Saccharomyces cerevisiae S288C: one gene and its partners. The gene in region 1 interacts genetically with each later gene. Each region holds a gene or a part of one and is shown on either strand. Other genes may lie near its edges.

The links.
Region 2: mutations in PTM1 (region 1) and CWC27 together harm fitness more than expected from each alone (negative genetic interaction), as found in Saccharomyces cerevisiae (2 studies listed by BioGRID).
Region 3: mutations in PTM1 (region 1) and ATG20 together harm fitness more than expected from each alone (negative genetic interaction), as found in Saccharomyces cerevisiae (2 studies listed by BioGRID).
Region 4: mutations in PTM1 (region 1) and MEI4 together harm fitness more than expected from each alone (negative genetic interaction), as found in Saccharomyces cerevisiae (2 studies listed by BioGRID).

The regions. Positions count from the first base shown.
Region 1 is NC_001143.9:360,845-367,312, forward strand, and holds PTM1 (Ptm1p), read left to right. Parts: upstream 1-1,777; coding exon 1,778-3,349; downstream 3,350-6,468. Other genes in the region: NFU1 (Nfu1p), read right to left, coding at 214-984; RGT1 (Rgt1p), read left to right, coding at 4,761-6,468.
Region 2 is NC_001148.4:428,211-433,811, forward strand, and holds CWC27 (putative peptidylprolyl isomerase CWC27), read right to left. Parts: upstream 1,407-5,601; coding exon 501-1,406; downstream 1-500. Other genes in the region: ESCRT-I subunit protein VPS28, read left to right, coding at 1-445; protein translocase subunit TIM50, read left to right, coding at 1,729-3,159; YPL062W (uncharacterized protein), read left to right, coding at 3,685-4,089; aldehyde dehydrogenase (NADP(+)) ALD6, read left to right, coding at 4,378-5,601. UniProt on the Saccharomyces cerevisiae protein: PPIases accelerate the folding of proteins. Catalyzes the cis-trans isomerization of proline imidic peptide bonds in oligopeptides. Involved in pre-mRNA splicing.
Region 3 is NC_001136.10:254,954-261,574, forward strand, and holds ATG20 (Atg20p), read right to left. Parts: upstream 3,603-6,621; coding exon 1,680-3,602; downstream 1-1,679. Other genes in the region: IWR1 (Iwr1p), read right to left, coding at 1-21, 92-173; YDL114W (short-chain dehydrogenase/reductase), read left to right, coding at 651-1,577; TRM3 (tRNA (guanosine(18)-2'-O)-methyltransferase), read left to right, coding at 3,962-6,621. UniProt on the Saccharomyces cerevisiae protein: Required for cytoplasm to vacuole transport (Cvt), pexophagy and mitophagy. Also involved in endoplasmic reticulum-specific autophagic process and is essential for the survival of cells subjected to severe ER stress.
Region 4 is NC_001137.3:236,447-242,405, forward strand, and holds MEI4 (Mei4p), read right to left. Parts: upstream 3,329-5,959; coding exon 3,266-3,328; intron 3,178-3,265; coding exon 2,014-3,177; downstream 1-2,013. Other genes in the region: SAH1 (adenosylhomocysteinase), read right to left, coding at 1-673; ERG28 (Erg28p), read right to left, coding at 1,124-1,570; ACA1 (Aca1p), read right to left, coding at 3,586-5,055. UniProt on the Saccharomyces cerevisiae protein: Required for meiotic induction of recombination, viable spore production and chromosome synapsis. Component of the MER2-MEI4-REC114 complex which seems to be required for meiotic double-strand break (DSB) formation.

The DNA of each region.
Region 1 (6,468 bases):
TAAATAAATAAGTGAATAAATAATGGTACGAATAACACAGTAAAAAGGGCACCCGTTTTTAGTGTATGGAAAAAGTTGAGTGCTTTACCCTTTTTCCATGATGACCGTTGAAACATGTACGGACTATCAAGTAATAGTGAGGGTAAAGACAGTATATACACACTTCCTTTTATTTTCGTCTCATCTTGTATTTTCATTTGAAGGACGGAATATTTACTTTTCATGGCTTGTATTTTTACTCGATTCCAACTTTTTTTCAAGCTTATCAAATTCCTTTAATGCTATTTCTTGCTCAGGATCCATGATCTGAATCACTTCTTTCACTTCATCCACATAGTGCTTCAACATGGACTCAATACCGTACTTCAAAGTCACTTCACTAGAAGAGCATGAGGTACATGCACCTTGTAATCTTAAATAAACGGTTCCAGTCTTTGGATCCCACCCACGGTAATCGATATCACCGCCGTCCTCCAAGATGGCTGGTCTTATTCTTGTATCTATCAGCTCTTCAATCAATTCGCTGACCTCTTCATCTTCTTCGGTAAGTTCAAATTTGGGCATATTTATTTTGTAGCCACCTTCTCCTTCTTCTTCTTGGACAGCATGGAATTCTTTGGATATAACATCTTCACCGTAAGCAAGTTGCTTGGTTAACAAATCTATAATTTCAGGCTTGATACTATTCCAATGGACCATTCTGTCTTTATTAATAGTGAGAAAATCATCACCTATCATTAAAGACTCCACTCCTGGACACTGCAAAAAAATTTGCTGTGCTAACTTGGAATGGTTGATGAGGTTTTCATCAGTGTTCTTAATAACTATACTCTTGGAGCCACGCGTCTGTAGCATCTCGCCATCTGTGGAGAGAAATTTTAAAGCATTTTCATTTGGAGTTGTTAAAGTCTTAATATGAATTAATCTCTGAGAATTTAAGTAAAAAATCGGAGACTTCCCCAATTTAGCCACTGATTTGAACATTGTTAGTCAATTTCTTGCTTTTTTGCTTAGATTACGCTGAGAATGCCTTATGTATTCTAATTAGTCCGCTAAATACGCTTCTTTTTATAATGATTAATAAGCAATATTGTAAGTAGATCACTGAAATTCGGAAAACTTAAATTATTTATCACTTGATACGTTAGAAGGCTATTTCTACAATCACCAGGACTCCGCTAAGTGGTCCTATAGATTTGATGAAATGCCTGCTTTGACGGTCTTGATGATACAAGCTAACGCTTAGCATGTTACTATACTCAATGTACATTGTTTTATCCTCAAGAGACCGCAGACGTTTCAATTTTGTGTTTAAAAGAACAATGGACAGTATATACGTAGTGCCAATTTTCTTCTATGGTGTATTATGCGCATTGAACATTGTAATATCCGTAATGTTGAACATAATTTGGGAATTGCTTCCGAATCTTCAACCTTCATGTATACCTCTTTTCGGCTAGAGTGTGGTACTTTAATTACTGCTTAGTTGTTTTGCCCGATTTAGATATTGCACCCGTGCACGTCACACATAAGCTTGGTCTTTTAAATAGTGTGTGAAAAAACGAACTTGAAGAAAAAGATAGAGCAAGATATATATAGGAGTAGGAATAGGGAGAGTGGAAAAAAAAACTTAGCCTCAAACTAATAGTCAAGAGGATCAACTATTCTGTTCAGGTTTTGCAGGTTAAAAATTGAAATAGAATATTTTCTCGGTAATTTCAAGAAACAGCTGGTAAAAAGGCAGTAAATTTACAGAAACTAAGAGTGTAAGGGCACAATGAGAGTATATCAGTTTTGCCGACCTTTCCAATTATTCACCTGCTTCTTATGCTACCTTCTAGTGTTCGTAAAAGCTAACAAGGAAAAGATAAGTCAAAAGAATTATCAAGTATGCGCAGGTATGTATTCCAAAGAAGATTGGAAGGGCAAAATAGACCCGTTTATATCATTCAATCTTAAAAAAATAAGTGGATTGAGTGATGAGTCTGATCCAGGCTTAGTCGTTGCAATCTATGATTTCCAAGACTTTGAGCACTTAGGTGTGCAATTGCCGGATGAAGAAATGTATTATATTTGTGATGATTATGCAATTGATATCGGGATTTGTGAAGAGGAGAATCGTGATGAGTTTATTGTTCAAGATGTTGTATATGATCCATATACTTCCACAAATAGATCTTTGGCCAATCCAATCATGACGTTTTCTCAAAATGAGGTCGGCCTTCATGATACTAGATACCCAATAAAAGAAACCGGATTTTATTGTGTTACTGCGTTCAGATCATCGACGTCTACCAAGTTCAACGCTGTGGTGAATTTCAGGAATGCTTATGGTCAGCTTGCGGGCACCGAGATCAACAAATTGCCACTATATGGTCTTTTGGCGGTCGCATACGTTGTGGCGATGGCGTTATATTCCTTCGCCTTCTGGAAGCACAAGCATGAATTGTTACCATTACAAAAGTATTTGCTGGCCTTTTTTGTATTTTTAACCGCAGAAACCATATTTGTATGGGCTTACTATGATTTGAAAAATGAAAAAGGTGATACTGCGGGAATAAAAGTTTATATGGTGTTCTTGTCGATATTGACGGCTGGTAAAGTTACATTTTCATTTTTCCTATTATTGATTATCGCTTTGGGCTACGGTATCGTGTACCCTAAGTTGAATAAAACGTTGATGAGGCGTTGCCAAATGTATGGTGCGTTAACTTATGCAATTTGCATTGGATTTTTGATCCAAAGTTATTTGACCGACATGGAGGCACCATCTCCACTAATCTTGATCACCTTGATTCCTATGGCGCTTGCATTAATCATATTTTACTACATGATTATTAGATCCATGACAAAAACAGTTATCTATTTGAAAGAGCAAAGGCAGATCGTAAAATTGAACATGTACAAGAAGCTACTATACATCATTTATGCGTCCTTTTTGAGTGTACTAGCTGGTAGTATAGTTTCGTCATTTATTTACGTTGGCATGAACACTATTGATATGATTGAGAAGAACTGGAGGTCAAGGTTCTTCGTTACTGATTTCTGGCCTACGTTAGTGTATTTCATTGTTTTCGTTACCATCGCGTTCTTATGGAGACCAACAGATACTTCATACATGCTAGCCGCATCCCAACAACTACCCACAGACCCAGAAAATGTCGCGGACTTTGACTTGGGCGATTTGCAATCGTTTGACGATCAAGATGACGCAAGTATCATCACTGGTGAGCGTGGCATAGACGAGGATGACCTCAATTTGAATTTTACTGATGATGAAGAAGGACACGATAATGTAAATAACCATAGCCAAGGCCACGGGCCAGTGTCTCCCTCTCCAACAAAATAACGCTACCTCCAGCAGATTTGATTAGGTGATGAGACAAATAGTTTCTTCGAGGGCAGTCACGAAATGTTTACAAGCGAAAAGAAAGAAATTATGAACCATATGCACTTCTGTTCAATGCGATGTGAATATGAATATGAATATAAATATGAATATAAATAAATAAATAAATAAATGCGTTGCACGTTTCTTTTCATTTATTTGTGCGTGCTTTTACCTGTTTATAACTGTAGTCACCAAAGCTATGCTATACTCTAGACCTAACTTTTTCGTTTTGTATTTATTTAGCCGCTCGCTGGAGTTTTTTTTTTTTCGGTGATAAGATGATTTATATCAAACCGAAACAAGCGAAAAGTTTCTGTTCATCGACTATAAAATGGAAGAGAAAATTGGTCCATAGACTTTTCATGTGTACTTGTTTATGAGAAGAGACGCAGGAAGACCAGAAGTGAGGAATTCCCTTTGTTCAAGGATGAACAACGAAGCCAGATAACGTAAGGTTGCGCGCTGCATCAGTGCTAACCTTATTAGCTTTCTCTGGCTTTTTCGGTCTTTCCTATGTAACATAACATGTATATTCTATTTGTTTATGATGAGACCACGTCCTTAGTGACAATGCTATAAACCCAGCTCTTCGATTCGTTTTTAATGAAAGGGAGAAGATTTTTTTGTCAAACGCTCTGAGTAATAGAATATACATGCGACAACATTTGTAGTTACTTGTCTTACGCTTCCTAGGGAACGGATCATCCGAGTAGAATATCATTTTACGGGATCACTTTATTCGGTGTGATTGCTCGTTAAGCCGCACGACCATTTTATGGGCACGCTTCCGCAAGTTGGTTCTTTCATCAGAAGCTTTACCACGATTGGCAAGTCATGTAGCATGTGCGCTAACATCGTTTATCGTTTTCTGTGACGTGGCTTATGAGCACCAGAGACGAATAATCAACAGTACATCAAACAAAAGCTACGTCACCTCACCAATAATCCGAGCTTCTTGAAATGGCAGGTATTGGATTCATAAAATATGTCGCTGCTTTGTGCATTTTCCTTTAGTTTTTTCCTTTTTTTTCATGTAGCTAACTAAGCAAGACGATTATGGGAAGGGACCTTTTAAGGAAAAACAGGAAAAAAAAATAGTAGCAACTAGTAAAAATTCAAAAAATAAAAAAAGTCAAAATAAGAACACATCAGTTAGGAACCGTGCTTGGAGTTTTGAGACTGGAGTATTGTCCATCCAACATATTCTGCTCTTTCACCATAGACTTCGTTGGAAATCGCCTCTCCCTTGTACTATATTGTGCAGAACCGTTCCCGCAATTTTCATTGGTGCAATAATAACACGCTTCTTCGATTCTCACATTTGTCAAGAAGCTGTACTCTTCTCTCAAACTCCAATATATTTCAAATTATGAACGAGCTGAACACTGTTTCGACTAACTCCAGTGACTCCACCAAGAACGGTGGTACATCCAATAGTCCCGACGATATGGACTCCGCAGCAGCAGCAAGTCACGCAATAAAGAAAAGAACAAAGGCCTCCCGGGCCTGCGATCAGTGTCGTAAAAAGAAGATTAAATGTGACTACAAAGATGAAAAGGGGGTCTGCTCAAACTGCCAAAGGAATGGAGACCGTTGTAGTTTTGATAGGGTTCCTTTGAAAAGGGGACCCTCGAAAGGCTATACGAGGAGCACCAGCCATCCAAGGACTAACGAAATACAAGACCACAATAACTCAAGGTCGTATAATACGTTTGATAATAGTAACAATACCCTGAATAATAATACGGGCAATAGCGGCGACAACGGTATAAACAGTAACACAGTTCCAAGTACCCCTTCGAGATCTAATTCAGTTTTATTGCCCCCACTGACACAGTACATTCCCCAGGCTGGTGGCATTCCTCCTAGTTTCCAAAATCCAGCGATACAATCAACTATGCCCGCGGGTAATATTGGCCAACAGCAGTTTTGGAAAGTGCCCTACCATGAGTTTCAACACCAAAGAAAAGGATCTATCGATTCTTTGCAAAGTGATATATCGGTAAGAACATTAAATCCCAACGAGCAGTTGTCTTATAACACCGTTCAACAGTCTCCCATAACGAATAAACATACTAATGATTCTGGAAATGCAAACGGAAGTGTCACCGGCTCAGGCAGTGCCTCTGGTAGTGGTGGTTATTGGTCCTTTATAAGAACTTCTGGTTTACTAGCTCCTACTGATGATCATAATGGGGAACAGACAAGAAGATCAAGTTCCATACCTTCTTTGCTACGAAATACTTCAAATTCTCTTTTACTAGGTGGCCAGCCTCAGCTTCCCCCACCTCAGCAACAATCGCAGCCACAAGCACACCAACAAAAGTTGCAACAAGGACAGAACCTATACTCGTATTCTCAATTTTCCCAGCAGCAACCGTACAACCCATCGATATCATCTTTTGGCCAGTTCGCTGCTAATGGTTTTCATTCTAGACAAGGATCAGTCGCCAGCGAGGCTATGTCTCCCAGTGCACCTGCCATGTTTACTAGCACATCTACAAACCCCGTAAATGTTGCACAGCAAACACAAAGACCTCAAGGACAGCAGGTACCGCAATTTTCATCTGAGTTGGATGGAAATAAAAGGCGACAATCAGCCCCCGTATCAGTAACATTATCCACGGACAGGCTGAATGGTAATGAGAATAATAATGGTGAAATTAACAACAATAATGGCAGCAATAATAGCGGTTCTTCTAAGGATACATCTCAACATTCCCAAGAATCTGTAACTACACCAGCGGCTTTGGAAGCATCCAGCCCTGGATCAACGCCACAGAGAAGTACAAAAAAACGCAGAAAAAGTTACGTATCTAAGAAGACAAAACCAAAGAGAGATTCATCTATATCTATAACATCGAAAGATTCTGCTCACCCAATGACCACTTCATCAACTATCGCGTATGGACAGATATCCGATGTAGATCTAATAGACACCTACTATGAGTTCATACATGTAGGATTTCCGATCATACCTTTAAACAAAACGACCTTGACCAGTGACTTATTGTTAGTTAACACACAGCCAATTTCCAATATACACGAAGTCAATTCATATGTTATTTTGTGGTTTA
Region 2 (5,601 bases), on another chromosome or scaffold:
ATCCATAGAAGCGTTCTGCGATACATACAACATCACTGCTTCGAACGCAATAACAAGACTGGAGAGGGGCATACCAATTACAGCAGAACATGCGATATCCACTACCACATCGGCTCCCTCTGGTGATAATAAACAAAGTTCTTCTAGCGACAAAAAGTTTAATGCTAAATACGTCGCTGAGGCCACTGGTAATTTCATCACTGTAATGGATGCTTTGAAACTAAACTATAATGCAAAAGATCAATTACATCCCTTATTGGCTGAACTGTTAATCAGCATAAATCGCGTCACCAGGGATGATTTTGAGAATAGATCAAAACTCATTGACTGGATTGTCAGAATAAATAAACTCTCAATTGGTGACACTTTAACTGAAACACAAATTAGAGAACTTCTGTTTGATCTAGAACTAGCCTATAAAAGTTTTTATGCTTTACTGGATTAAGAAATAAACAAATAGAAATTATGATAACATATATAAGTACACAAGCGTTTCTATTTCACTTTAGAATATTCTTGTTTTTTATTCGTTCTTGAAATTTTGACAACATTGCCAAAGTTTCCCGCTCTCTTTTATCCATTGGTTCTTCCTTGATGTTTTCTTGACTTTCCGTTTCTTTAGTGGTTGCCTCATCAACATTATCATGCAACTCCGTCTTTTCCCTAATTAGTGCCTCTTGTGGCTGATCTAAGGATGCGTCTAGTTTAATTCCTTCACTGCGACTATCATCTTTGATCCATGCTGGGAGAATCATTCTCTTTCTTGGCTTAAGCTTTTGAACATCACCATCATCATCCTCTTGCTCATCTTCATAAACCATCTTTACTTTTGCTGATTTCACAAGTTTCTTTGCCGGCTCTTGTTCTTTTTTTTCATTATCTTCCAGTCTTCTTTTTGATCCAAAGATGTCCTCAAAGAATGGTATGGTAATCTCAACATCCTTCAAAACTGCAGGATACATGAATCGTTTGACATCATTGTCACGGGAGGAAGCTTCAATTTCGCCGCCCAAGATCTCTCTAAAGATGTAAATAGATTTCCCAACAATTTTGCCAAATACATTACAATCGTTCAGTACGTGCTTAGAATCCGCCAGCACAGTTATAAACCATGTGTTCCTTCGTCTATCCCATCCCAAGAGTCCATCTCTATTGAAGCGTATACGAGGATTTTTTTCCTCAGCAACTGTACGGTACTCACCAGTACTATTTGCATTAAACATTAGCCACTGTGTTGGCTTTAACTCTTTAAATTCTCCATTGGTGAATGTGCCATCTGAGAGCATAGATAAGAACCTCTTACATGTCTCAGGGCATTCTTTAGCCCATAATTCAATGGCAATGTTCCCCTTTGTTGTATACAGTATACATTTAGCTGTTGTCTGAGGTTCTATATTACTGGACATAGCATTCTTACTTTGGTTTAAAACTCATCATACATGTTTCCTGTAATACGCTTTGAATAATAAATTATTCAATAAATTATTCTCAGGACATTTTGAACCTTTTTTTCTCTTCAGACGCTTTACAGCGGAAAAGGAAAAAAAAAAAATTGGAAGTTCTTTCAGTAAAGTGAGATATATTCAGCAAACGAACATAACGTCAGGATTAATCGGAACGGTAATTTCTAGCATCCACTCAATTTCGTGATTAGCTTTTGGCGCATAACTGATTTTTTGCTTTAGCACATCACAGCTAGAATAAACTTCCAAAAATCACCCGCTTGCAATGCTGTCCATTTTAAGAAATTCGGTGAGACTAAATTCAAGGGCTCTTAGGGTTGTGCCATCTGCCGCCAACACCTTAACATCGGTTCAAGCATCCAGAAGACTTTTAACAAGTTATTCAAGTTTTTTACAAAAAGAAACAAAAGACGACAAGCCTAAATCCATTCTTACAGATGATATGCTGTTCAAGGCCGGTGTTGACGTCGATGAGAAGGGCCAAGGCAAAAACGAGGAAACATCAGGAGAAGGAGGAGAGGACAAGAATGAACCTTCTTCCAAAAGTGAAAAATCTAGAAGAAAAAGACAAACTTCTACAGATATTAAAAGAGAAAAGTATGCTAACTGGTTTTACATTTTTTCGTTGTCTGCGTTGACAGGTACTGCAATCTACATGGCAAGGGATTGGGAGCCTCAAGAGTCTGAAGAATTGAAGAAAGACATCGATAATGGCTACACTTTATCACTTATGTATAAAAGATTCAAGGCCAGGTTCAACTCAATGTTCACCTACTTCCAAGAGCCACCTTTCCCTGATTTACTACCTCCACCACCACCACCACCGTACCAAAGGCCATTAACTCTTGTTATCACATTGGAAGATTTTTTGGTTCATTCTGAGTGGTCTCAAAAGCATGGTTGGAGAACGGCCAAAAGACCTGGTGCTGACTACTTCTTGGGTTACCTATCGCAGTATTACGAAATTGTTTTGTTTTCATCCAACTATATGATGTACTCTGACAAAATCGCTGAAAAATTAGATCCAATCCATGCATTCGTATCTTATAATTTGTTCAAGGAACACTGTGTTTACAAAGACGGTGTGCACATTAAGGATCTGTCAAAATTGAATAGAGATTTGAGTAAAGTAATCATTATTGACACTGACCCTAACAGTTACAAATTGCAACCTGAAAATGCTATTCCAATGGAGCCATGGAATGGTGAAGCTGATGACAAATTAGTAAGATTGATTCCATTTTTGGAGTACCTTGCCACTCAACAAACCAAGGATGTTAGACCAATCTTGAACAGCTTTGAAGACAAGAAGAACCTAGCAGAAGAATTTGATCATCGTGTGAAAAAATTGAAGGATAAATTTTACGGAGATCATAAATCTGGTGGCAACTGGGCAATGACGGCACTAGGTCTCGGAAATTCCCTGGGCGGCAGCACCAAGTTCCCGCTCGATTTGATTCATGAAGAAGGACAAAAGAACTATTTAATGTTCATGAAGATGATTGAGGAAGAAAAGGAAAAAATTAGAATACAGCAGGAGCAAATGGGCGGGCAAACATTTACGCTGAAAGACTATGTTGAAGGTAACTTGCCTTCGCCAGAAGAACAAATGAAAATACAATTGGAGAAGCAGAAGGAGGTAGACGCCTTATTTGAAGAGGAAAAGAAAAAGAAGAAGATTGCTGAATCCAAATAATTTTCATGTAAACCCTCTTCTCATGTATCTACGTATCTATGTGTGTATGTAAATGTACCTGTACACTCCCCACACCCTCATTTTGTTACTGTCATGTGAATAAAACTTATGTATATTGCTAACTTACTACCACTGCACCTCCTAACATCACCATACTACGTACAAACACGCCTATTTATTTTTTCTATGTTAAATTTTAACGATGTAGACACACCTAATGATCTGATGCGCTTTGCATATCTCATATTCCTTCACTAGCATAAAAATCCAAAAAAAAAGAATATTTAGGCCGAATGGAATTATTCGTAACGTCATACGAAAAAAGTTTCAATTCGTACAATGCCTGGCATGTTCATTCGAATATAAGGCCGCCGCCTTCCAGTCAGGGTAGCCAAAAGTATAATCCCGGGTGGAAACTAAACTAAAAACCGTACTCACAACTTTCCGCGGACGCTAACAGACAAATAGACACACTATCAGGTCAGGAACTGCCGTCACATACGACACTGCCCCTCACGTAAGGGCATGATAGAATTGGATTATGTAAAAGGTGAAGATACCATTGTAGAAGCAACCAGCACGTCGCCGTGGCTGATGAGGTCTCCTCTTGCCCGGGCCGCAGAAAAGAGGGGCAGTGGCCTGTTTTTCGACATAAATGAGGGGCATGGCCAGCACCGAGACGTCATTGTTGCATATGGCGTATCCAAGCCGAAACGGCGCTCGCCTCATCCCCACGGGAATAAGGCAGCCGACAAAAGAAAAACGACCGAAAAGGAACCAGAAAGAAAAAAGAGGGTGGGCGCGCCGCGGACGTGTAAAAAGATATGCATCCAGCTTCTATATCGCTTTAACTTTACCGTTTTGGGCATCGGGAACGTATGTAACATTGATCTCCTCTTGGGAACGGTGAGTGCAACGAATGCGATATAGCACCGACCATGTGGGCAAATTCGTAATAAATTCGGGGTGAGGGGGATTCAAGACAAGCAACCTTGTTAGTCAGCTCAAACAGCGATTTAACGGTTGAGTAACACATCAAAACACCGTTCGAGGTCAAGCCTGGCGTGTTTAACAAGTTCTTGATATCATATATAAATGTAATAAGAAGTTTGGTAATATTCAATTCGAAGTGTTCAGTCTTTTACTTCTCTTGTTTTATAGAAGAAAAAACATCAAGAAACATCTTTAACATACACAAACACATACTATCAGAATACAATGACTAAGCTACACTTTGACACTGCTGAACCAGTCAAGATCACACTTCCAAATGGTTTGACATACGAGCAACCAACCGGTCTATTCATTAACAACAAGTTTATGAAAGCTCAAGACGGTAAGACCTATCCCGTCGAAGATCCTTCCACTGAAAACACCGTTTGTGAGGTCTCTTCTGCCACCACTGAAGATGTTGAATATGCTATCGAATGTGCCGACCGTGCTTTCCACGACACTGAATGGGCTACCCAAGACCCAAGAGAAAGAGGCCGTCTACTAAGTAAGTTGGCTGACGAATTGGAAAGCCAAATTGACTTGGTTTCTTCCATTGAAGCTTTGGACAATGGTAAAACTTTGGCCTTAGCCCGTGGGGATGTTACCATTGCAATCAACTGTCTAAGAGATGCTGCTGCCTATGCCGACAAAGTCAACGGTAGAACAATCAACACCGGTGACGGCTACATGAACTTCACCACCTTAGAGCCAATCGGTGTCTGTGGTCAAATTATTCCATGGAACTTTCCAATAATGATGTTGGCTTGGAAGATCGCCCCAGCATTGGCCATGGGTAACGTCTGTATCTTGAAACCCGCTGCTGTCACACCTTTAAATGCCCTATACTTTGCTTCTTTATGTAAGAAGGTTGGTATTCCAGCTGGTGTCGTCAACATCGTTCCAGGTCCTGGTAGAACTGTTGGTGCTGCTTTGACCAACGACCCAAGAATCAGAAAGCTGGCTTTTACCGGTTCTACAGAAGTCGGTAAGAGTGTTGCTGTCGACTCTTCTGAATCTAACTTGAAGAAAATCACTTTGGAACTAGGTGGTAAGTCCGCCCATTTGGTCTTTGACGATGCTAACATTAAGAAGACTTTACCAAATCTAGTAAACGGTATTTTCAAGAACGCTGGTCAAATTTGTTCCTCTGGTTCTAGAATTTACGTTCAAGAAGGTATTTACGACGAACTATTGGCTGCTTTCAAGGCTTACTTGGAAACCGAAATCAAAGTTGGTAATCCATTTGACAAGGCTAACTTCCAAGGTGCTATCACTAACCGTCAACAATTCGACACAATTATGAACTACATCGATATCGGTAAGAAAGAAGGCGCCAAGATCTTAACTGGTGGCGAAAAAGTTGGTGACAAGGGTTACTTCATCAGACCAACCGTTTTCTACGATGTTAATGAAGACATGAGAATTGTTAAGGAAGAAATTTTTGGACCA
Region 3 (6,621 bases), on another chromosome or scaffold:
CTCTTTTCCCCTCATCAATTACTGAATTGTCCCAGATGAACTTAGTTAGTCAAACGCATTTTTGTTATATCGGTAGAATAACAACACATACATAATGCCTGCACAGAATCCTCATCCCTTCTTCTCTTTACTCTGATAAACTCAGGTGCCGTTGTGGTACTAATAGTGCTCATTCCCGAAATCTTGTATGCCTACCTCAACAAAAGCTATACCTCAGAGAGCAGTTTTATATACCATCTCTTGTTCTCATCAATAACTTGTCTTGAGCATTACACAATTTAAATCCCCTGTGCCGACACAAACAAGAGATAACCCGGAATCAATATTATCTGATTGGGCTCCTAAATATCGCATCTGTGGACTTGAATCCACATGCTGCGAACTTATTTGAAGCAACAATTACTTCTGTTGGAAGCGTGGTAGTGCCAAATCAGACTTGCTCTTTAGTTTTCTTATGTTAACGCTTTACTGCCTTTTTCTTCTATATTTTTGAACGTCAATATGTAGCGGGCGTCAGCAGAGGAACAGAATTTGTGACACTTCTTGAATGAACATTTCTCATATCTGAAACCGCATCATCAAAAGGACACCTCAATAGAGATTCAGTGACATATTTAACATAGTTTTATGGGTAAGAAATATTATTAATTATGGTACGCAAGAATAAAATAAATAGAGCGAGTGGAACTACAAAACACCTCAAGGATTTTCCATCAGTCATCCTAAGTCTGCCCAGCTACAACCCTTCCATCCTTTCTAAAAATGCAACTGCACTAATAACCGGTGGTTCTAGTGGACTCGGATTTGAACTTGCAAAGGAACTTTCCAGAAGAATTAATAAAGTTATTGTGGCAGATATTCAATCATTTCCTACTTTTGCTCAGGTAGAATATAATAACATTTTCTACTATCAATGCGACATAACAAGTCTAGATGAAATTAAAAATTTGAAAAAAGCTATTGAAAGAGATCATGGCAACATTAATATAATTATAAATAATGCTGGTGTTGCTCACATCAAAAAGTTAGAACATATGACAAACAAGGAGGTAGAACAATTGATCGACATAAACTTAATAGGTGCTTACCGAATCATCAGTACATTTGCAGAAGATATGATAGACAATAGGGAAGGCTTTATAATTAACATTGCTTCAGTCCTCGGAGAACTGACTCCTGCAAGGCTGACATCGTATGGTGCATCAAAAGGAGCAATGATTGGTTTTCACAAGTGTATGAGCAGGCATTTCAGAAGTTTGTCCACGGAATGTAATAAAACTGGAATAAAAACACTACTGGTGTGCCCGGGAAAAATCAAAACTAATATGTTTATTGATGTCCCTACACCATCTAAGTTATTGGCTCCTGACATCATACCTTCCCAACTGGCACTAGCGATAATCTCTGCGATGGAGCATAATCATCTGCAAACACTAAATGCCCCATATTATGTGAACCTAGTTCCCTTTTTCAAAACTTTGAGTTGGCCATATAGGCATCTCTTAAAACATTTCAGTGGAATGGACCATGTAACGTCAACCAGCCCGCGAGCAATAAATCCGAAGAGAAGTGCATAATATTTTAGTCTATTTAATACATTTGACGTTATTTGATCTTCACGTTGTTTATATATATATATATCAAGTATGCTATAACGCTAAAAAAAAATGCTCATAATACTATGCAAAATCTTGATGTCTTTTGACTTCTTTCCAAATTTCTAAATTTTGACGGGCATAATTTCTCATATATCTGGAATAATGCTTTAAAATTTCTGATAAATCTACTTCCCTTTCTTTAGAAAATTTAGGTAGCTGGTCATTTTTGATGACTTTTGAAATGACCTCCAAATCATTCTCAGTAACTTCCAATGATTCAGACAGTTGTTCAATTTCTTTCTTCAAATTGATACTTGCGGTATGCGGATCTGTTTCTTGATACTTCACAGAATCTTTTACCATTGATGCCAATTTGTTAAATCCATTGAATAGTTTGCCACCATATGATTTCCCACCGCTACCTGTATTATTATTAGGGCGTTCCAGATTAATAGTATGACTTTTAGACATTTCGTTGTCAATTATTTTGTCAACATCCTTATATTCATTGTTTTGCGCTTCCAGCTTCTCCAACTGTGCTCTTTTGGAATTCAGAGACTTTTTAATCATTTCATTTTGCAGGTATTTCAATTTTCTGTATTTGATCAATTCTCTTGCAGAAGTTGCCATATGAACAGATTCATTTAAAGGCTCATTTATATTGTAGTATAGTCTTCCAACTAATTTTTCTAAAGAAATCGAGGACCCCGAAAAGGCATTGCTTAAGTAAGAAAGCTGTTCGGCCAATTCCCCAACTTGAGCCTGTTCATGGGCAAACTGTGCAAATACCTCACCGATTTCATTGTAATCCGATTTCAAATCGTGATAAGTCTTCGTGGTTCGTCTATTATACTTATAAATCCCGTTATCTAACAAGTTCTCATATTGCTTGTAATCCTGTTCAATATTAGTAAACGACTTACTTCTTTCCTTATCCATTTTTTTGTCGTTGGACTCCTTATTCAACAATAACTGTGACGAGGAGCCCGGTATTGGTAACATGGCATGAATTCTAGTGGTGTTAGTGGGATCTAGTGGATTACACTGGAGGATGCTCTTCGGTAAAGATGAAAAAGTGGACGAACTGTTAACAAATTCATGCCAATTATGGTTATTAGGATCCAAAAAATCGGTAATTATAGATGTTTTTGTGATTTCTTCGTTCGTCAAAAGTTTGTTCAAGAACTCAGTGAGCATTCTTATCCTATGCCGTATTAACTTTTCATCACTATTATTGACCGACGCATGTATCACAGACAATGATAGATCTACTGAACCAGAACCTTCTGAGGGCAGCAAATACTTTGAACTCGAACCAGTTATTGACTTACCATAATTCTTTATTGACTGCTTTTCTGGAATCGGCGGTATCAACGTCATAGGAAACAATCTTATCAAGATACTTCTCAAACTCTCGAAATCGCTGTAACGTCTCTGAACGGTAGAATTTTCAAACTGAATAACATAGGCGATGTAGGCTCTTCCTTGACCTTCGGAAACTCTTTTCGCTTCAAGTATGTGTATCCTAGCGGACTTCTTTCTATTACTTACAGAAGGTTCTTCTGACGCAGAGGTCTCTCCGTTCATGGAGTTAATACTTCCACTAAGACTTGTTCTACATGTTTCTGCATTCGATTCTTGGTTTAAAGGCAATAATCCCTCAGAGTCATCCTCGTAATCTTCATTCGGGTTCTTTAGGTTATGGCTTCTCATACCGGGTATTTCTAATAAAGCTGATTTTGTGAATCCTGTTGGCCCCTCCTCCATGAATGGGTTGTCTTTTTCTAACAGGGCTGTGTGTACTAACTCAGTTTCTACTTTGTTATTGTCCCCCTTTCCAACCTTACCCTTTTTTGGGCTCTTTTTTGGCGATCCAACTCCATTCTTAGAAATTTCTGCCTCTGCCACATACTCAGTTGTCCCATGAGGTGGTTCAGCCTTTCCTGTATTCCGAGTTTCCGAATTCAATTTAGCATTTTCTTGGACATCATTTAAGTCTGACATTGTGTGCTGTAGAAGACAACTTTTCTAGATGGTATGTTCAATTGCACCACCAGTATTCGAGCTAGTCATCTCTTCATTTTGGAGATGACTTGCTGTAAATCGATAAATATTGGCTTACTCAATAGCCATATCTTAAAGGGGGCACAATGGGTGAGTTGTCGGGTAAGGGAATGTAGATCACGTGAATGAAAATTCAAGTGTTTTTCGAAAAGTTTCACCATGGCGATGAGCAAGATTGAAACAGCACTATTGTAACTATATAATTGCTAGTAAGCAAATAAGCCAAGCCTTATTAAAATCCGGTGAAAAGAATTGTTTAACGAACGTTACAAACTCTATACCTTTTTTTTACCAGCAAAATGGTTGGAGGTGCTCTCATCTGCAAATATTTACCACGCGAAGAGCAACTAAAGCTTATATCAGACTTGATTCAGAATGACAGCTTAGAAGAGGTGCTGGAGTTGATTGAAACTTCGCCACTGGATATAACGACGGACAGCAACATTGAAACACCAATCTTTGAAAAAATTACTGAGCAGGTCATTGCGTATGCTAGTATAGACGGTGAAGCCAGGGAAATGTTTCGCTCTTCGAGGGCTGAAATGAACAAGGCGCTAAGAACTTCTGCACAATTACTATGTTGTTTACCCAGTGTATGGCATAAATTTCAGGTGTGGATGAGCTACCGGTTAAATGACATCATTAGCGAAAACTATAAACATCTCTTCAATGACAACTTTGGAAAAAAGATTGTACAACCATTTTTCGATTCTTTTGCTGAGGAACAAAACGCTAATATCAAGCATGAAAATCTGCACTTAGATATCCTTAGCCTGCTTCACTACTTAGAAGTTGTATATTTATTTGACGAATGTAAGAATGGTATATCGTCCAAATGCCTAGATTTTATCATTGTTCCATTGTTAGGCTGTAATTCGGAAGAGATTGCTGATTCCTGCTCCAAGTTAATGAGATGGCATATCAAATATTTATCGAAATGCTGCAATACCGATAGTAACTTTGATAAGCTCATTTGGACATTTATCAAACAATTGTACGCTGAAGGCTCCCAACAAGCTTGGAAGCAAAAGAACAGTTTATCTTTTCTCCTAAGATTCCTTTTAGCAGCAGAGTTGTCTCCTGAACTTATTACTTATATAAAGACCGATGCTTATTGGAGGCACATTCAAACAGAGCTGGATAATGATGTGCACGAACACAGAAAATTGGCACTCTCAATTCTTAAATTAACAATTCAAAAACTGTCATCTCATGGTATAACATTGCAAACAACATTTTATAAATGCAATGATCTAGCAAATATCGAGATGCTGGGTAGCTGGAAGAAATTCACCACCTTATATGAAATGATTGCTCTGGACACATCATTGAATCAAATACAAGCGGCCAAACAAGATATAATAAAAATTTTTGATAACGAGCATTTACACCATAGTTGGGGCCTTATCTTGCTTTCTACGGGATTGAAATCATCAATGGAGAGTGTCAGAAAATACATGATGACGTTAATGTTCTCGATTACAAATATGTCAGCATTCTCTTCAAACTTGCCATTATTGACAAAAACTCTTCTTCCAGCTGCAATGTCCGCTCATTATTTTGATGTAAAAGGTGTCAGTTGTCCCCATGGTGAAAAACTTTCATTATTTGTCAATAACTTACTTTCCCAAACAACAGAAGGCATATCAGATATATTATTTGAAATTTTGAAATTATTGGTGGAAAAAGGGACCTCTTTTGACCCTTCTAGGATATACTTGTCCTACGGTATCTTAGTTTTCTTCCAGAATAACAAACAGAAAACAATCAACTCTGACCATTTGAGTCTGATCAGGAAATTGTACGATTTTGCAGCCGAAGAAGAGGTTCTCGAAACTACAATCCAAACAATTTACTTGAAGTTCTTACTGTACATTGATCCATCTGTCTCCGCATCTGAATTATTGTTTACATTAGTTTCACACATTAAGTTAAAGGGAGGGACATACAAATATGTTGAGCCTCTTTTTGAAGATTATAGGGATCTTGCCGTTTCTCACTTTGACGATTTGCAAGCGAAAGAAAACTTGACGACAAACATCGGAAAGGATACTATTTTTGACCTCTTAGCATCTATCATCTTCGATTTCAAGGATATTGATATTACTCCCGATTTTTTAATTGAAGTTGCGAAGTCGAAGCAAGATATACCCGTTTACACTTCAAAGGCAGTTACTTTTCTAACTCAGCTACTTTCAGGCGAACCTTCGAACGGTTATACCTATGAAAATGCAACCGCTTTGTTGTCTTACCCAAATTTTACAATATCTACATGGAAATCCATCAATGTGAATAATTTATTTAAGTCGGTAATGGAAAAATTTTCGCTTGATAAATTCAAGTTCTTTGCTGAAATTTACCAGAAGACTTATGAATGTAGGTTCGATACAATCGAGCTAAATTTTAATGACCTTCTGAGCCTATATGAAATGGTTAAAAAGTCTGCCAATCAGTGTTCAAGAGAGAGCTTTAAAGTGAAGGACAGCGCTTATTCTTCTTACTTTGAACTTTTAAATACCTTCCTGAAAACATACGCCTTAAATCGTGACTCTTCTGAAGGAAATGATGATGAGCTTCACATACTACTACGCTTAGTTGACGAGAATATTAACAAAGATAATGGGAATTATCTGGGGAACCTGGCAGTCTGTAAATTATTGTACTTTATCATAGATTCCTACATCCATTGCTCCACATCTGTTTCTGATGATGATATTTTCATAGTGAAATTCATTTTTGAGAAATTTTCGTTTATATGGGAATGTATTAATAGTGAAAGATTAGTTTTGAAGGAAAGGGATCTGCATTTGATGCTAATTAAGGGATTATTTCATCCTGTGATCCTGTACTTTGGATCAAATCAGTATATCGATACTTTGACCTCGAAGTTGGAGGAACATGCACAAACGATTATATCATTGAGTTATTCCAGAAGAAGCCTACTCCCTCTTCTCGGATC
Region 4 (5,959 bases), on another chromosome or scaffold:
CGTAACCAGCAACAACGGCAACCTTACCAGCCAACATGACATCAGTGGCTCTCTTAATACCGTCGACTAAGGATTCTCTACAGCCGTACAAGTTGTCAAACTTGGACTTAGTGACGGAGTCGTTAACGTTAATGGCAGGAACCTTTAACTTGCCTTCTTTGACCATTCTGTATAAGTGGTGAACACCGGTGGTAGTTTCTTCGGAAAGACCAAAGCAGTCTTCCAGCATTTCAGGGTGCTTTTCATGAACTAAAGTGGTTAAATCACCACCATCATCTAAGATCAAGTTCAATTTCTTGTTGTCCTTGAAGGCAAACAATTGTTGTTCAATACACCACAAATACTCTTCTTCAGTTTCACCCTTCCAGGCAAAAACTGGAACACCGGAAGCGGCAATAGCAGCGGCGGCATGATCTTGAGTCGAATAGATGTTACAAGAGGACCAGGTAACTTCGGCACCCAAAGCAACTAAAGTTTCAATTAAAACAGCAGTTTGAATGGTCATGTGCAAACAACCAGCAATACGGGCGCCTTTCAAAGGTTGGACGTCACCGTAAGCCTTTCTGATGGCCATCAAACCTGGCATTTCATGTTCAGCCAATTCGATTTCCTTTCTACCGAAGGCAGCCAAAGAGATATCAGCGATTTTGTAGTTTTGAGCTGGAGCAGACATTGGGAATTGTTCTTTTTGTCAGTTGGGTTATTTCGAGGAGAAGAGGATTTTCAGAAAGAAAGAAAAACAAATAGGAATGGAATCATGGAGTTAATAAACCACGTTACTAAATAAGAGATTGGAAAATCTAAAATACGGCTTCGAGGTCGTTTAATTTTCTTTTTCCTCTGAAAATTTTCTTTCTTTTTCGGCCTTAGCCTGTGAAAATTTCGGCCGAAAAAAAAGCCAACGAGATCACGTGCACAGAAATATCTGCGTTAGAGGAGAGAGGTAGGGATACTTACAGAAATGAAGCCAAATTGGCAGCTTTTTGAGAAATAATCATGAATGATAAACAATTGCTGTTAAATAATGTACGGAAGGTTTGGATAAAGGTTGCTATAGGCATTATATAAATAAATCATCTCTATATAATTTTTTTTACAGGATATGCTTGCCCTTACATCAGAATTACCAAGCAACACCAGTGTAGTATTCTCTTTGTTTGTACATCCAAACCAAAGAGGTGGTTGAGACAACCAATGGACCCATGAATCCCTTTCCCAACTTACAAGTTCTAAAGATCAATAATTCAGAGCCGAAGTGGAATAGGGCAACCATATAAGACATGAAGACCAATTCGAAAATGTGTGGTTCATTCAAGTACATAGCCCCATAGAATCTGATAACACAGGAAATAAAGGTCCAAGTACCGAAAGTTCTTGCACTCAAATGGGTTGTTTCAGTGGGTTTTCTTTCGTAGACTTTACGTGTCAATTCTAAACCAGAAACGTAAGTCTGGATAGAATTGAAGACTGATACAATGGAAATGAAAAGTAACCATTTTGGTAAGTAACCTTTTGGCATTGCTGCCAAGGTGGTCTTGGTTGTAGTTATTACGTCTTGTAGGCTGAACATTATCTGATACTTTAGTGTATTTGAATCCTTCGATACTATGGTCTAGCTAGTGTCAAGAATATAAAAACCTGAAATTAGTCAATGCGTTTACGTCAAAAATAGTAGCAATAGTAAAGCAAAACAACAGGCTTGTTCAGCTTAGTTTTATATACGGGGGTAGAGAATACAATGGATCGTACCTTTTTTTTTGTTTCCTGTTCGTTCCGTCCCCGAACGAAAAAATCATAAAATAGAAGTTTCCTATCGGTAATACCGTAAAGTTTAATTCAGTTCGTATAAGATTAGGTTAATCATGGGCAAGTCCGGAAGAAGCGTTTTAATGTAGGTCTGTTGGGGAAGATGTTGTGTTCACTGTAATTTTCAACTGAAGTTGTTGTCCCCGAAATGAAAGAGCTTTCGATATTTTTGTGTTTTATAATGCGCCTCCTACTGCAAAAGAAAAATTAAATGTTTTCTGTCTCATTGAACCATCTTGACAATCGAAAGCGCGCTATCAAATTTCTTTCGGCAGTAATTAATAAGGCCGCCTGTATATATTTCCTTTTCTTCTGAAGCGATATTTCATGAGCCGGAAATTTTTCCAGGAAAGGTTTTAAGTGCTGCCATTCAATGCTTTCAAATGTCTCGAGCAATGATAGAATAACTATCTTGAGTATTTTCAATAGACCCCCTAACTCTTTTTCTGGGACACCGCTTATTACACTGTAAAAGTTCTTTAAGTAGGTTTTCTTCAAACTCAATTCTCTTTCGAGGTATACTCGACAGTACGCCTTTTTCCGGTTGATGCATATTAGTTTATGCTTCGATACAAATCTAATAAGTACATGTATCAGACTTTCGATGATGATAAGTATGTGTTCAATTAATTTCAGAACAGATACGTATTTTAATATCTGCGGTTCAAATGTTTGGTTTGTCTTGATTTTGATGAGTTGAATGTTAATAATAGAGTAAATAAGGGTAAAATGCAACGAACACAAGCGCTTGTAGTCAACTTTATCACATAAATGTTTGCCATCTCCCTGGTCGTAAAAGTTTTGAAGCCATTTTGGATCGTTTTGGTTCTTCTTCAATAAAATTCTATTAAACAGAAACTTGGCGATGAAATTGAAAACATGAACGTCTATCAGTGTCCTCTTAAAAGAAGAATCAGAATCTATGCGATGCGAATAATGAGAAACTAACAAGATTTGGAGTGTTTGAAACACTTGCGATAACCCTCTAAAGTCAATTTCTTTTGTTTTTAAGCTCAGGATTTTTAGCAGAATTTTATATCTCGGTAAAAACCAGTTGTTTATATCAGCAGTTGATACATCTTTGCTAAATGATTGCAGCTCCTTTAAACCAACTGCATCTTCGAAGCTTTTGTACTTATTCTGGCAAAGGAAATTGTATATAGGTTCCAGATGAGCAAACAGTGATTTATTATTCAAAAATCCATTTTCGAAAGGCGCAACCCATTTGTATATATGTTTTGAGTTTTCCCGAGGATTTATTTTTAAATTTTTTTCACTCTTGAGAGCACCTACATCTTCGACATCTCCTTTCTTTCTTGAAAGTGCCCTCTTCCACAACGTAGGATTCCTGGATTGAATTAAAGCAAAACACTGTCATAGATAATATTCGAGGAGATTACACCTCTTACTAAAAGTTAGTAAAGAGAAAATAGGTTAAGGATGTGACAATTTCACGTACGATTATCCAGTCAACTTCCGATGTTTCCTTTTGTTCCATATCTTCCAGTTTGCCTCTACTCATGTCCTTACTCTTCTAAAAGATTATTTAATGAAACTGTTTCACAACTACAAGATGTTTGTTATGTTTTCTTTTACAAGTCGGAAACATTTAGCCGCCCAGCAATATATATGACTCCGAAAGAAAATGAAAGGAAATACATACATAGTAAAATAAATCGTTTAAACATAAATAATCGTACAGAGGAAAACATTAAGGAAGGAGAGTCAAACTAATGTACTGGGAATTTGGATCTCCCATAAGAAGTATGCGCAATACTTTTATTCATCATATAGACTGGAGCTGCGTATCATTTCTTCAATCATTTTCAGAAACCCGTTAACATCACTATCCTTGTTTTGAAGGCTTTGATAACTATTATTACCACCATTAATTGTGCATTCTTGCATGTGCAACCTCGAAATTTTCTTCATTTTTTGAACCAATTTTTCGTAATTTTCAATTTTTTTCTTCATCATTGTGTTTTCTTTGCTTATTTGGTCAAATTCCCTTTGAAGTTGTAATTGTGACATTTTCTTTCTCTGTCGACACTTGGAAGCGGCAATTCTGTTTCGTTCTAGTAGCCTTGCACGCTTCCAAGCTTTAGCACCGTCTTTCAAGCCTGCAGTATTGTTCTCTATTTTTTGGGGTCTAGCTTCCTGCTTTATTTGGAAGGTTGCTGTAGTGTGCATAGAGGAGAAGGGCGCGGTATGTACGTCTTTCTCACTATTAATATTGTTTTTCAGTGCAGAAGTGGCATCCTTGTATTGTGGTTTTGAGTTGGCATGTGTTAAATTGACATCAGGGCATTTCGATTCGTATGGAAGGCTGCTTGAAATATTCAACTCGGCATTTTGGCAGGAATTATTAACAGTGTGGTGATTAACGCCATGGGAAATTGAAGAATGGACGGATTGATTTTCGATATTATGATCATTAATGTTTTGGCAGGAAGAAGAAGAGGAAACGGAAGAATTAGAGGCTGGAGTACATGGATGCACATTCAATTGAGCGTTTTTCCATGCCTTAGTTTGCATTTGAGCTTGTAATCGGAGTTGCATGTTGATGTAAGCCTGATTCATTGTGGAATCGCCAGATGGGATAGAAGGCGTGGCAGAAGGAATGTCACAAGTGGCTGCTACTGCGGGTATGTTAAGCTTTATATTGCTATCATACGGGGTCATTGCAGCGTAGATATTCTTGCTACCTGTTTGAGGTGCAGCTTCGGGTATGACTGTAGCTTGTTCGTGTGGTTGTGGCACGTTTTGCAATTCGTTCGAGCTAAAGCTTGGGTATATGGCTGCGCTTGGATTTGCCACCTGTTGAGGATTGGGATTCTGTTGCGCCTTAGACGATAGGATCGGAGGCTGACAGTTGTAAAGATTTTCAACCGTTTCTAAGTCTTCGCCTAATTGACTAATCTGACCATTGGAGATAGATATGCGTCTTTTGTACACGGGCTGATCAAACGCTGGTAAAGAACTTTGAAAAATGGGAGGGTTGGTAATGGGAAGATGGCTGATGTCGACGCCAAAGGGTTGAAACATTGGACCCAGGTTTTCTTGCACGCTACGGTCATGCAAACTGTTTTGGTGATGAAAATTGTAGGCAGAATCCACAAGACCAGGACCCGATGGTTGTTTGTATATAAGCTCCTTGTTTGAAGATAGAAAATCTGTATATAAGAGTGGGTTCTGCCTTCCATCTAGGAAAGAATCTGGACTTGTAGCAAAATTATGCTTATAGTCCATACTTTATTTGGTTCCTTAGTCGTTACCTGGTGTTATTCCAGTACTATTAATATAACTCAGTACAATTAGCTGCCGTGAAAAAAAAAAAATAATAAGAATACAGTTTCTGCGCTTTTAGTCGGTAAGCACTCAGATTGAGAGATCTAGATTTACTATATTTTAATAATAACCAGTTAAAGCAGATTTTGAAGATGAACTAACATAAAAAAAATTGATGAATTATGTAACATAATCTTCTGTACCACCAGGGTAAATCGCCAAAGAATATCTGCATCTAAGAACAAAAGAAAATGGTGCCCTAAATATCTTTCAGATGAAAAACTAATTATATATCACTACTAAAAAAAGCCAGAAAAAGAAAAAAAGTAAAATAGAAAATAGAAAATAGAAAATAGAAAAATAGAAATTAAAATTAAGAGCATTTTAAAATTAAGTCTACAAAGTAATACTTGGCATATTGCTTAACTCCTCACGCAGAGCCTTAGCGTACCACTATTTTATCTGATACCACAAAAAGCTGCGCTTTGATGGCCCAACGGGGATATAATCGCGCCACTGCTACTCATGTGCTGCAAACTAACAGTGCCAGCAGAAGCGAGCATTGAAAAACTAAACTTTGCCTTGTTCTGCTTACTTCATGCAGAGGTACAGCTTCGATGTCCTAAGGTTGAACATCATCTTGCTTCGATTTCGGTAGTAATCATTTTGCCTGCACGCCATTGTATGAATCTCGTGCCACTCCCTTTTTAACTCCGAGATACAACTTTCCGTGGGGAAAAGTACCGTAGTATTGTAATTTCGAGAGCATCTTTACGGTAATTGCCCCTCCACACCCAGACGTTACACAACCCTTAGTAAACAGCTGCGGAAAAAAAGTGTGCCTACGCACTGTACGACTCCTGAT